Notamacropus eugenii: one gene and its partners. The protein of the gene in region 2 interacts with the protein of the main gene of each other region in a pairwise test. Links are inferred from orthologs where the notes say so. Each region holds a gene or a part of one and is shown on either strand. Other genes may lie near its edges. The genes, in order: ENTR1, AP1M1 and TGOLN2.

Region 1 (4,313 bases), on a different chromosome or scaffold from region 2:
CTGCAAGGTGACCCAGGTAGTAGCAGAGGTGGGATTACAGATCTTGTGCTCTCAACTCCAAAGATAGCCCTTTATCCTCTCTGTCATACTACATCTCACAAAGTAGCTCTCTTATATAACTCAATAAAAAACTAGATGAAGAATTTCACAGGAATTTTTAAACAGAAAGGAGATTTATCAAATGTCACAAAGCTGTTACCCTCTATTTACATAAATCAATCCTTTGGAAAGAGAAATGAAACTCAAATTTCTAGATATAAGTGTACATACATTTCTGTCTGAGATTCAGAGAAGTTCTGAATCTCATTAATTTTTCTTCTTAGCTTAGAGTTTTCTTCTTTAAGCTGCAGAAAAAGAAAATTAAAATGAGAAATTCAAGATTCTAAACTGGTCAACAGCCTGCATACAATTAGTCACAAAATTTCTTATTTATAAAGAAATCTAGGACAGTGGATAAAGATGTTTAGGTTTCTAAGATGTTTTATCCAGCTTGACACAAGTATTCTATTGTACTCACATCTCCTGTACTTGCATTCATTACACAATACTGTTTAAAGCAGCTGCATTCATATCTGTGAGCAACGCCAAAATAACTAACCATGGTAAACAGCAACAAGCTGTAGTAGCACATTAGGGCTGATTGTGTCCTTTGCTCCAAAGCCATAGAGGCCATTAGGAAAGCAAGATCACTAGCTTTTCTCCACGAGAGACTTCCCAAGACTTTTGAGGTTTATCAGGTAGGTGAAGAGCATTCCATCCACACTTACTGCTTCATAGCTTATCTGCAGCGACCGAAAATGCCTATCTCCCAAGTATTCTCCATGAGCAACAAATTCTTTGTTTGTGTTGTTCCCTTGAGATGTAGGAGAAACACCTGAGTCACTATCATTTAAGGTCCATGGAGCAAGAGACTCGATGCCTGACAGTTCGGGTGTGTTGGTAAAAAAGGAAATATATGGATTATGTGGTGATGTGCTAGTAGCAACTCTGGAAGCATGAGTTTGTTCCATGGTAGCTGGCCGGTAAGTCCCACTCCAGTCATCATCTTCATCTTCATCCAGCAAATCTCCAGCACCAGTTGGGTCTTGGAAAAAAGGTTCCTCATAGTCTAAACCATATCCTACAGATTTAGAAGGTGGAGAATTATCTTCAAGTCCTAATGTATGTCTTGTAGATTCCTAACAAAGAAGAAAGTCAAAAGTTACATTGAAGAGTTTCTTTATTAGTCTAGGTTAATAAATATTAGTAATTAGTAATTTTTTACAGTCTTATATTCAATGTATTTTTTCAGCATTACAACAAAATACTTCATTTATAAGAGTTAAGTTGAGAAGAGAGATGGAACACTGGAAGGATAAATCATCTACATGTGACATTATTGTAAAACTTAACTATCATTGATACCAAACACTTCCATGATTAACAATATCCTATGAGAAAATGTAAACCAGTAGTGAAAATTCATTGAGATTTTTTTCTCCCCTTATTGAACTTAAATGGAAATTCCTTTAAGTTACCTTAGTGTAAATTCTAGCATTGGTTGTCTCTTCTTTGGACAGGCCAAGGTTCTTGGTTTTCAGAAATTCTTTAAAGGAAAATGGATTTGCTTCATCCAGATCTTCAGCACTGTCATCTAAAATAAGAAAAGCATATTTCATAAATGCTTTAAAGTGATTCAGATTTACTAGACAGGAATCTTCCTTTTAGTTTTTTTTTTAGAAGCAATATCATCTAATCCAGATTTAGGAACACTAAGCCCCATAGTGACTCAGGATAATTGATTTTAACAAGGTAAGTGCTAAACTGAAGTGAACTGAGGTACAATTAAGACACAAGAAACTTAAGTTACCAGCAACAAGATACCTCTACAAGTAACTCCATTCTAAACTCTTTCATTCTTTTTTCCTTTACCTCAGAAGACTTTACCTGGCAATTGTCTCAAGTTTCCATATCTATTCTGTGACTGGCTTTAGTTTTCTACTTCTTTCAGTCTCCCATACATGTAGTTAACCGCATTATCCTGATTTTCAGCATTTTATGCATTTCTATCAGTTGCTACAAGTCTCCAGTTTTCTTGCTTTCCTCATCCCTCAGCTCCCTCCTACCCCAAATACAAGATCTAACCTTCAACTCTTGGATGCTTCTGCCCCCAAACACTGTTGAAGACTCATTTATTCATCATCCCCACCTGCTTTGTGTTTTCTCACCTCCACACTTTTTGCCCATGTGTTTTTCTTCTCCTCCTTACCTGGGCCTATCCAAATCCTATCCATATTTCAAGGCCCAACTCTAATCTCCTTCCCAGACCTCACCACCTCATAGCAATCTTTCCTTGACATGAATCCCATTCATATATGTTTTTGTCTGAGTTTCAGAGATGTTCTGAATCTCATTAATTTTTCTTCTTTGCTTTTTACTGAGTATCTACTATGTACATAATGCAGTACTAGGTGCTGAAGAGAATAAAACAGAAAATGACACAGTCTCAAGAGTTTAGTTAGGGGAATAAGACAAGTCCAAGTAAAAAGGTAAAGAATGAAACATGTCACCAAGTACTTTAGGATTAGGGCAATGTAAATAATACAGGCAATAAATACTTTTAGATTTTAAGTTCCTTGACAACAGAGACAGCACCTCTCCCAGAGCAGCCTAAGGTAAATATTTGAGTGACAAGTCATAGCTTCAATCCCGAAAGTACTTACAATCTATACACATAAAAGATTAATAATTTAAAAAGATGTCATAAAGCAATACCGGATATCCAAATGGGCAGTTTAAGTGCTCCATCCCTTCTTAAGTTCCATGTAGCATAGGGTACACAAAAGGAACTCAAATGACTAGAATATAAGACACAATTCAATTCGAACATTGAGTACTCCCATTTGAAAGATCCCAATGCACAAGTGTGGTGGGATAAAAAGATAACAAGCCTGGAACGGGAAACTATGAGTTTAAATCACAGCTCTGTCACCAAGTCCTTATGTGCTCCTGTCTTTTCCCATCCTATCACTGAGAGGGGTTGGGTCTAGAATTTAGATTTTTCTATATTCCTTTCTTTAATGGGTGATTCTATGGCCCAGTATGGACAATTAGAGGGTACTGGCTGAATACAGTCCATTACACAGCTCTTGGAATTCTAACGGGGTAAGGCTCTATACAACAGCTTCAGAGGAGGGGCTCCCTGGAGAAGGTGGTGTCTCCAACTAATAGTAACATGGGCAAGACCTCTGCCTCTTCTGGGCCTCATTTCCCCATATGGACAATGGTTGGGACTTTAAAGTCCCTTCCAGGCTGGGTGAGTCTGTGATTCAAGACTCAGATACAAAATTAAGAGACAAAGGGAAATCAGAGTGGTTCAGAGAAACGTCTTTCGGAAAGGTCCTGTTCCTTCTCTACAAAACGGGCAGTCGAGAACACGGTATCTTTAAACTAGTTTGCAACCTTAAGTGACTCCCCCCTCCCCGTCCTCCCTTACGCCGGGGTGAGATTCTCCTATGGATAATCAGAGGCTAGTTAGTCGGGCCTGGAAGGCTCCCCGGAGGCCGAGGAAATCTAAGGAAGCCTCCCTGCAGGAGCGACCCCCACCTGGGCCAGTCTCGGACCTCAACTTCCACTTCTGTACTCGGAGCGGACTGCCTAGAAGATCTCTAGATGCCTAGCGCCTAAGGCAGGGCCGCTACACCGGTGCGGAGGGGAGGGACGGAGGGACGCTCTGCCAGTCTCGGTCGCTAGGTCTCACCGTCCTGGATGATGAGGCTCCGGGCTCGAGACAGCGGGGTGAGCCCCGTGCGGCGGGTGTAGCCAGACATCCCCGCACGGCCTCGATTCTGCCCGTGGACGGGGCCAGAGCTCCACTACCTGGTCTCCATAGGCTCAGGGTGGCTCGTCTAAGCTCAGCTCAGCTCAGCTTGACCTGGCTCCGCCCGGTTCAGCTCGTCTCGGGCCTTCCGGTCTCCTCCCGCCTCCTTCCGCTTCGCCCACCGGGCGCCGGAAGCGCGATCTCTCGCCGCGCGGGCGGAGACTGGCTGCCAGACCGCGGGGGCGTGGCCGGGAGGGGGCGGGGAAGCGGAAGTGACCGCAGAAGCGCTGGGCGGAGGCGCAAGATGGCGGCGGCGGCGGGAGCTACCGTGCTGCGTGGACGGGGCATCTGGGATCGCTCTCGCATGAGGTGAGAGGGGGAAGAGTCGAGGACTGCCTGACGGGCAGAGATGGAGGGACCGGGGCCAAGTGCGGGGAAAGGCCAGGACTGCCCGGCCCTGCCCCACGCCCCGCGGGGGGGAACCCTGACGGAGGCTCCGAGGGGCCCGGCCAGT
Region 2 (4,313 bases):
AACTGGAAGGAACCTCAGAGATCATCTAATCGAGCCCATTCTCTGAAACCATTAGGTAAAAGAAGTAAGAGTATCTACATTAGATACCTTGGTGGGACCATAATCACTGTCCTCAAAATATCTAAAGATTTTCATATGGAAGAGGCCTCAGACTTATTAGGTGACCCCAAGAGCTAGGTATCTAGAGTCCTAGATTCTGGTCATGCCTCTGTCGCTCCTTCTTCTTCTGTGGTGTTCTGAGCTCCTTCCTCCCTCTGGACTTCTGCTCCTTCATTTGGAAAATGAACAACTTAAACGGACAAGTATGGTGGTGTGATTGTGAGGATTTGCTGACAAGCAAGGAAGGGGAGGGGAGCTATTTTTTAACTTAGGTCTAAGAGTTTTTTCCTAAATGATAGAATTAATGAGTTCACTGACCTAGATTAGAAAGACCCTTTCATCACAACTGATGGCCAGCAGTGAGTACCTGAGAGGAAGTCTGACAATACCTGTTGAATCTACTCATTCAATTTTATTAAACATTTCAAAATGACTACTATATGCTGAAAGGATGTAAGTTTCTTGAGGGAAGAGGCTTTCATTTTTGTCTTTATATTTCCAGTACCTGGAACATAGTTAATACTTTATAAATGTTTGTTGATTGATTACAGGATCTTCTACTGTTCTGCAGAGGAGATTTCTTTTTAATTCGATACAAATCTACATAAGGCGTATAGTAACACTTAAAAGGGCTATAAGAATGTCAGCTATTATTAATAAAAGGCAATTGATAAGAACTCTCCCAAAACTGTTCATTAACAGTATTTAAAAATAACAAAAAAAGTTTTATTTATAATAACAAACTATGTGTCCAATGATTGGCTAGCTGAACAAATAATTCTACATGCATATAATGGAAAATTATTAGGCCATAAAGAGTGTCAAATGTAGAGAATTCAGAGAATTATAAGACTCATATGAAGTGATACAGAGTGAAGGAAGCAGAGACAAAAGAACAACATATGCAATGAGAGTAAATACAATTAACACTGGAGAAGCAGTAAAATTCTGGTAAAAAACAACGGTCAATGTAATACTGCCCAAGTTAAAGGACACACCTTACATTTCTGTTAATAATCAATAAACTTACTTTTCTTCTCCAGGGAATGTACTTTGTGGAGGGATGTGGTTGGGTATTTACTGGGAATTATATGCAGCATCAAAAAAGATGTCAAATAATTTATTTAAGCCAAATTGAAGTACTGTAAGAAAGGTACTAGAACACTAAAAGTCAGAATGAACTAAGACTGTCAAGGAAAGCTAAGGACAACAAAAAAAGATTTTTAAAAGCTATACTGGAGAAAAGAGTTAAGAAGTATTCAATGTAGATGGGACAATGATAATGAATGGAGAGAAGACAATTATTCAACTAGGACCTTACTTCTGTTTCTGTGTTAAGGAGAATGGTCTTTGGACTGGAAAGGACAGAACAAATGGAGAGACACTGAAAGAGTGGTTAGCTGCCCTTGATGAGTTCAAGTGACCAGGCCCAGGTAAATTACATTCCAGGCTAATGAAAGAACTTTTGAATGCTATTTCTGAGCCACTATCAGTCATCTTTAAAGGATCAGGCAGAAGAAGAGGGGTGTTGGGGCTAGAGAAAGGCAAATGTCTCTTATTTTCATAAAAGGGAAAAGAGTAGAATATGAAACTCATTGTCCAATAAGCTTGACTTTGACTCCTAGAAAATTCTAGAATGTGTCACTGAAAGGGGTCTATCTTCAGGTGGTGAACATTTAGAAAAGAAAGTAGTAATCACAAAGTGTCACACTTTCACCAGAAACAGGTCATGCTAGACTAACTTCATTTCCTCTTTTGATAGGGTAGATCAGGGGACTGTGATAGATACAGTTTACTTCTCTGCATTTGATGAAGACTCTCATGCTATTTTTGAAGGCAAGATGGAGAAGTATGGGCTTGGCAGTAACACAATTAGAAGGATTTGGAACTGGCTGAATGGCCATACCCAAAGCACAGTAAAAGACTCTCTACTGCAGTGTCCATTGAATCTGTGCTTGGCTTTGTAATATTGGACATTTTCATCAATAATCTGGAAAACGGTGCACATGGCACACTTATGAAATAAGCACAAAGCACAAAGCTAGGAGAGACAGCCAATAGGTTAAATGGCAGAGCTAGGAATCCAAAAAAATACTTGACAGTCTAAGACACTGGGCTAAATTTAATAAGATGAAATTTAACAGATTAATGCAAAGTCTTCCACTTGGGTTTAAAAAGGTCAGCTACTCAAGCTGGAAGAGGCACGGCTAAGCAACAGTTCATATGAAAAAGATCTTGTGGTTTTAGTGGGCTGCAAGCTGAATATATGAGTCAACAGGGTGACAGGACAGCCGAATGATGTTAAACTAAGAAGCACGGGTATTCAGAAAGGGGGAGCAGATAGATATTCTCTGCTGAGTTTACTCTGTTTTGGTCAGACCATATTTGGAGTACTGTTTGATTTTGCACGCCATGTTTTAAGAAGGGCATTAACAAGCTGGAAAATGCCCCAGGGAGGGGGAAAAAGAACTGTGAAGGACCTTGAATGCACATCAGGGGATGACTGGTTGGAGGAACAAGGGCTCTTTAGCCTGGAGAAGAGCTTTAGGAGGGATAGGACGGTTGTCTTCTACTATCTGAATGGCAGTTACTTGGGAAGAAATACTTGTTCTGTTTAGACCCAGGAAAGAGACCTAAGGACAACGTGGAAGCTGCAAAGAAGCCATTTCAGTCTGGACCCTAACGACGAGAGCTGGCCCGAAGCGCGGCGGAACCCACTAAGACGGAGACGGCTGGAAGATCGGCGGCCTGGGACGCCAGGTCAGCACCGGGGGGGACGGCACTCACCACACAGCCCAGGGCCTCCACAGCCCGGCACCACCCTACTTTTTCACGCGTTCTTCCCCCCTCCACCATCGGAGCTCCGGTCGGACAGGGCCCCTCGCCCTGCGGCGGCACCGTGGCTTCTGCCCTCTCATCCCTATGGCCTGAGGGCCCAGTCAGGCGCCTTCGCTCTGTGCGTCTCTAAGGCACTGAACGTGGACCTTGGCACCATTACCACCAGGGCATTTTCTCTCTCTCCTAGCCCTGCCCGGCGCCCTCCTCCAGAGGAGCGCGCTGGGGCGAGAAGGGCGCCGGCTGGGTCGTGGGAGGCCCTGGGTTCAAATGCCATCGGATGCTCCGCGTCTGAACCGTGACGCCCCTTCCAGCTCGACGTCTGGGGTCCCACGGCAGAGCTGGCACTGCCTCTTGCCCATCTTCGGTATCCCCAGAGTTTAGCCCAGGGCCTGGCACACTGTAAAGTGCTCGTGGATGGCATGGGCTGCCCCGGGGCTGGGGCTGCCACCAGGACAGGCAAGGCGGCGGTCAAACACTGACAGGGTGACAGGGACCGCGAGCGGGTGGGGGAAGTCCCCGCCCCTGCCTTGGGGAGGGGCCGTTACCAGGCAACGCGGAGGGGGGAAGCGGCGCGGACCGAGGCCAGGTTTCCCTACCTTGCCCTTTAGGTCTAGCACATACACGGCGCTGGCCGACATGGCGGCGGCGGCGGCAGCGGCGGGGAGGGGGCGAGGTGGAGGGCGAGGCGCGGCAGCAAGAGAGGCGGCGGCACCGGGGCGAGCAGGCGGGCGCACCCGACCCGCGGCACCTCACTTCCACTTCCGCCCTGGAACCGTTATGTCCGGCTTGGGAAACGGCCTTTGGCCTCTGGCGCACGCGCAGGGGAGGGAGGGCATGGGCGTCCGCTCCGTGCGCGCGCCGCCGAGGCGCAGGCGCACTGAGCTCCGATGAAGCCATGCGTCCTCCCAGAGCTCAGGCGGCAGCGAGCTCAGGCGGCGGCCCAGCCCTGGGGCCGAGGGGGAAACCTCGAGAGGGAGGAGATGGAGGAGACGGAGAGTGACGGAGCCTGCCAGGCCCCGCAGATAGTCATAATATCCGTAACGGTGGCGCCGGAGGGCAGCTTAGAACTAGAACGTCAGAGCCGGGAGGGCCCCTAGAACAGGGAACGTCAGAGTTAGGAGGGGCCCCTGAACTGAGAACGTCAGGCCCGGAGGGGCCCCTGGGGCAGGGAACATCTGGGCCGGGAGGGGCCCCTGGGGCAGGGAACATCTGGGCCGGGAGGGGTCCCTGGGGCAGGGAACGTCAGACCCGGAGGGGCCCCTAGAACAGAGAACGTCAGGCCCGGAGGGGCCCCTGAGGCAGGGAACATCTGGGCCGGGAGGGGTCCCTGGGGCAGGGAACATCTGGGCCGGGAGGGGCCCCTAGAACAAGGCCCC
Region 3 (4,313 bases), on a different chromosome or scaffold from region 2:
AATCTCAAGTTGCTGACAGGCACCTACATAATACAAAATCTCCTTCCTAATGAAACTTTGAACTTACCTTCCGCTTGTTGTGATAGGCGATGTACAGGACAGCTACCAGGATGGCCGCTGTGACCAAATATGCAAAAAAGTGGCTGCTCTCTGAATTTTCCTTCATATAAGAGTTGCCATGTTCAATACCACCTGCTGGAGGATTCACAATGGTGTCTGTTTTCGATGACTCTTCTTTAAAAGTTTCACTAGGACTAAATTCAAGAAACTCTTTATCAGAATCAGGGTTTAATTCATGCTTATCTTCTTCTATGTCTGTCTCATGTTTGTTCTCTCCTGTGCTAGCTTCATATTTGCCCTTTCCTGTGTCAGTCCCCTTATTGGCTTCTCCTTGGGTGGGCTGTTTTGCCTGTGGCAGGTTGGTCAGCTTGTCCTCTCCTGTGTCAGTTTCCTGACTGGCTTTTCCTTGGGTGGACTGTTTGGCCTGTGACTGGTCAGTCAGCTTGTCCTCTCCTGTGTCAGTCTCCTGCCTGGCTTTTCCTTGGGTGGACTGTTTGGCCTGTGACTGGTCAGTCAGCTTGTCCTCTCCTGTGTCAGTCTCCTGCCTGGCTTTTCCTTGAGTGGACTGTTTGGCCTGTGACTGGTCAGTCAGCTTGTCCTCTCCTGTGTCAGTCTCCTGCCTGGCTTTTCCTTGAGTGGACTGTTTGGCCTGTGACTGGTCAGTCAGCTTGTCCTCTTCTGTGTCAGTCTCCTGCCTGGCTTTTCCTTGAGTGGACTGTTTGGCCTGTGACTGGTCAGTCAGCTTGTCCTCTTCTGTGTCAGTCTCCTGCCTGGCTTTTCCTTGAGTGGACTGTTTGGCCTGTGACTGGTCAGTCAGCTTGTCCTCTTCTGTGTCAGTCTCCTGCCTGGCTTTTCCTTGAGTGGACTGTTTGGCCTGTGACTGGTCAGTCAGCTTGTCCTCTCCTGTGTCAGTCTCCTGCCTAGCTTTTCCTTGGGTGGACTGTTTGGCCTGTGACGGGTCAGTCAGCTTGTCCTCTCCTGTGTCAGTCTCCTGCCTGGCTTTTCCTTGGGTGGACTGTTTGGCCTGTGACTGCTTGGGCAGCTTGTCCTCTCCTGTGTCAGTCCCCTGACTGGCTTCTCCTTCGTTGACCTTCTCAGCCCCTTCTGGGCTGGTCTGCTTGTCCTTTTCTGGGATGACCGACTTATCTTCTTTGGCATTCTCAGACTTATCTCCAGTGCCAAGTGAGGGGTTGGAAGACCCCTGCATGGCAGCGTCAGGGGCCTGATCATTATGGTCAGCGGCGTTCTGTGTGCTCCCCTCATTCTTGGGGTCCCTGAGGATGCTGGACCCTCCTCCTCCATCCCTTGCATCCTCTTTGACGCTGTCGCCAGCTCCTGAAGAGGGAAAAACGAGAGGTGGGAGTCATGACAGGTGTGTGTGTGTGTGTGGGGGGGGGGGGGCAGGCTGCCTGGGAACGGGGCAGTAAGGTCAGCGGGGAGGGCCGAGCCTGGGCGGAAGGCCAGGACGGAGGGAGGGAGGAGCCCGGAGGGCGCGGTCCGGCCTCAAGCCAGGCCCAGGGCCTGGAGCGGGAAGAGGCGGTTGAGGAGGCCGCAGTTCCGCTCGGGGCCGGGCCCTAGGGGCCGAGCGGGAGCAGCGCCGGGCTGGGCCAGGATTCGGGTAGGGTGCGGTGGGGTACTTACCGGTCGCGATAGAAATAGTCCACAGGACCGCGAACCAGAGCAGGAACCGCATCCTGCGGCAGCCACTGCGCTTCCGCCCACGCACACTCTCGCGAGATCAGCGGCCCTGAGGCAGGATCTTGACGTCACGCCTGGGCGCTCCCGCCTTGCGTCCTGAGCGCGCGAACTCTCCTGCCCCGCCTCCCAAGGGCGTAACTAGGGGTGTGGCCTCCCCGTACCACGCCCCATGACACATTTTAGATTCAGTAAGCCCTTTCTAGGGGCTAGCTAGTTTAAGCCAGTCCTGGACGGCGGGCTTTGAATTCCGTCTCTCATCAGTAGTGGCTAAAGTCACTTCCCCAACCAGTGATCTCTGGACCACTCTCTAGGGCTCTACGTGGCAGGGAGGTACCAACCTGCTTTGATAGAGGGGGCTTCCTGCTCTGCGCCTCTGAACTGGATGTCCAGTAGATAGCTTATGCCCACTCTGTCCAAACCGGAACTCATTATTTCCCCTCCCTAAACCCTCATCCTTTTTCCCTTTCCCTTCACTGTGGAAGGCACTCCCAATCTCCCAGCCTCAGGCCCCACCTCAGGAGACCTCCTGCACACTTCCCTCTCTCACGCCCCATAGCCAAGTTGTGGCCAAGGCCTGTCGATTTCACCTCCAAAGCCTCTCATCAATTTCACCTCTGCATCCTCTCTCTCATTTATTTCACCTCTGCATCCTCTCTAGTCAATTTCACTTCTGCATCCTCTCTCATCAATTTCACCTCTGTAGCCTCTCTCCTAGACTTCACTTCTCCATCCTCTCTCATCAATTTCACTTCTGCATCCTTTCTCCCACATTTCACCTCCTCAGCCTCTCTCCAACACTCTTCTCTAACTTTGCTTCAACCCTGGTGCAGACTCTCTCTTCCTGATACAACAGCCAGCTGCACCTATATAACTTATTAGTTTGAACCAGCTGTGTACTGGGTCATAATGACATTTACTACTCACTGACCAATTATATGTATCCTAGACTTAGACATACATATATTCCCATACATTTATCTTGTCTAACAAGACACTGATGAGAGTAGGCTGGTATTCCTTAGTTAGTCCTGACTGTTAGTTTTCTTAGTGATCTTTCAGGAATAAAACACCACCTCCATGTAGCCCCCTGCTTGGGCTTTTTTCAGATGAACTCTGGGTAAAAATACCTGCATACTAGATACCAAAAGTGCATGTTCGTAACTACTAACCACTAAAAACTCCTGAATCCCACAGTGAATAACCTAGTTAGCATATTTGGCACATGTTTTACTATACAATATCCTATATAAACTAACCACATTCAAACCACAGATTCCCTAAGAACTCTTGCCCACTGAAAAGCATAATAAATCTTTATCTTGACCTCAAGAATGCTTGAGTATGGGAATTCATTCTAGGTGACCTGCCCCTGTACTCGGAGGAGTCTTAGGGGGATTTCAGAACTTCATCCATCCTATTCCCCTTTCTAGCCCTTGTCAGTTCCTCCTTGGTGGCTTAAGCCATCTGGATCCAAGACGAGGATAGGAAGCCAATATCTGATTTGCAAGTACACTCAGCTACCAAGAAGACCTGTTCCTAGAAGGGTGAGAATCAGAGTGTTCACCATGTGGGAAGTAAGAAAGTTCTGTTGTCCACATTCCTAGGTGATAGGGGTTGTGACCTAGCATGGACAGGTTAGAGGTCAGAAACTAATGTGCAAGCCCAAGGAGCTGTGTGAGGAAGGGCCTATCAGAGAGGAGAACCTGAAGTCACATGGCCAGGGGACAGTATCGAGGGAAATCCAAAATTCAGAATTCTATAAGGGTCCTGTCTCATCCTGACCTGGTTGTAGTTCTTTCATGGTCATGCTGGAAGCTACCCATTTCTTCAGGGAAGGAATGTAGGCCTTCCCTACTCTGAACTCCATTTTAAATAAATCTTTCTTGATACCTTTTTTGTGTGTCAAGTTCGTGTCTAACAGCTAGAGTTGAAATTAGGCCAGATTTACAAAGGCTTTGCCTCAGGGCACCATATTTGGTACTTCGATGCCATCTGTGCCAAGAAGACAACAGAGCTTAGCACCTCCTTAGCAAGAATAGTTATCAAAAAGTTATCAATAGTTATCAAAACTACCACAAGGACTGGGGAGAGCTCTAACCTGTTCACCCTGCTTCCCCCAGCACAAGAAAGTCCAATGACTCCTTGTTGGCTTTAGTCAGTCAGTCGGTAAACACTTATGAAGTGCCTAGTATGCTCCAGGCATTATACTAAGCACTGGGGATACAAAAAAGCAAAGATCAATCCCTCATCTCAAGGAGCTGACAATTTTAAATTTAATTTAATTAGTTGACTAAATTCCATTAAATTTCTTTAGAATAAAATAACTTCAGCTTAACATTTATAGCTCTTCACAGTATGGTTCTGGATTATCCTTCTTGATTTATTTATTTTTATTCCTGTTAACATGTTAGACCAGTGGTTCTCAAAGTGTGATTGAATCCCCAAGGCTGTCTCTGGAAATCCCCAAGGTCCTTTGGTGGATGGTGATGTGTGGTCAAAACTATTTTCATAATAATGTTATGATGTTTTAATTTACAATGTGGTAAATATCACTA

The links.
Region 1: the proteins of AP1M1 (region 2) and ENTR1 interact in binary tests that used the Homo sapiens proteins (3 or more experiments, as listed by UniProt). The two-hybrid records come from large-scale screens. The link is inferred for Notamacropus eugenii from reciprocal best matches to the Homo sapiens genes AP1M1 and ENTR1.
Region 3: the proteins of AP1M1 (region 2) and TGOLN2 interact in a two-hybrid assay, tested with the Homo sapiens proteins (2 studies listed by BioGRID). The link is inferred for Notamacropus eugenii from reciprocal best matches to the Homo sapiens genes AP1M1 and TGOLN2.

Annotation. Positions count from the first base shown.
Region 1 is NC_092872.1:489,739,029-489,743,341, reverse strand, and holds the start of ENTR1 (endosome-associated-trafficking regulator 1), read right to left. Parts: upstream 3,033-4,313; 5' UTR 2,870-3,032; coding exon 2,755-2,869; intron 1,634-2,754; coding exon 1,518-1,633; intron 1,179-1,517; coding exon 768-1,178; intron 345-767; coding exon 271-344; intron 1-270. Other genes in the region: PMPCA (mitochondrial-processing peptidase subunit alpha), read left to right, coding at 4,104-4,168. UniProt on the Homo sapiens protein: Endosome-associated protein that plays a role in membrane receptor sorting, cytokinesis and ciliogenesis. Involved in the endosome-to-plasma membrane trafficking and recycling of SNX27-retromer-dependent cargo proteins, such as GLUT1.
Region 2 is NC_092875.1:59,290,940-59,295,252, reverse strand, and holds the start of AP1M1 (AP-1 complex subunit mu-1), read right to left. Parts: upstream 2,995-4,313; 5' UTR 2,956-2,994; coding exon 2,887-2,955; intron 1-2,886. UniProt on the Homo sapiens protein: Subunit of clathrin-associated adaptor protein complex 1 that plays a role in protein sorting in the trans-Golgi network (TGN) and endosomes.
Region 3 is NC_092872.1:727,222,937-727,227,249, forward strand, and holds the start of TGOLN2 (trans-Golgi network integral membrane protein 2), read right to left. Parts: upstream 2,594-4,313; 5' UTR 2,454-2,593; exon of another isoform or gene 1,808-2,453; 5' UTR 1,754-1,807; coding exon 1,702-1,753; intron 1,396-1,701; coding exon 68-1,395; intron 1-67. UniProt on the Homo sapiens protein: May be involved in regulating membrane traffic to and from trans-Golgi network.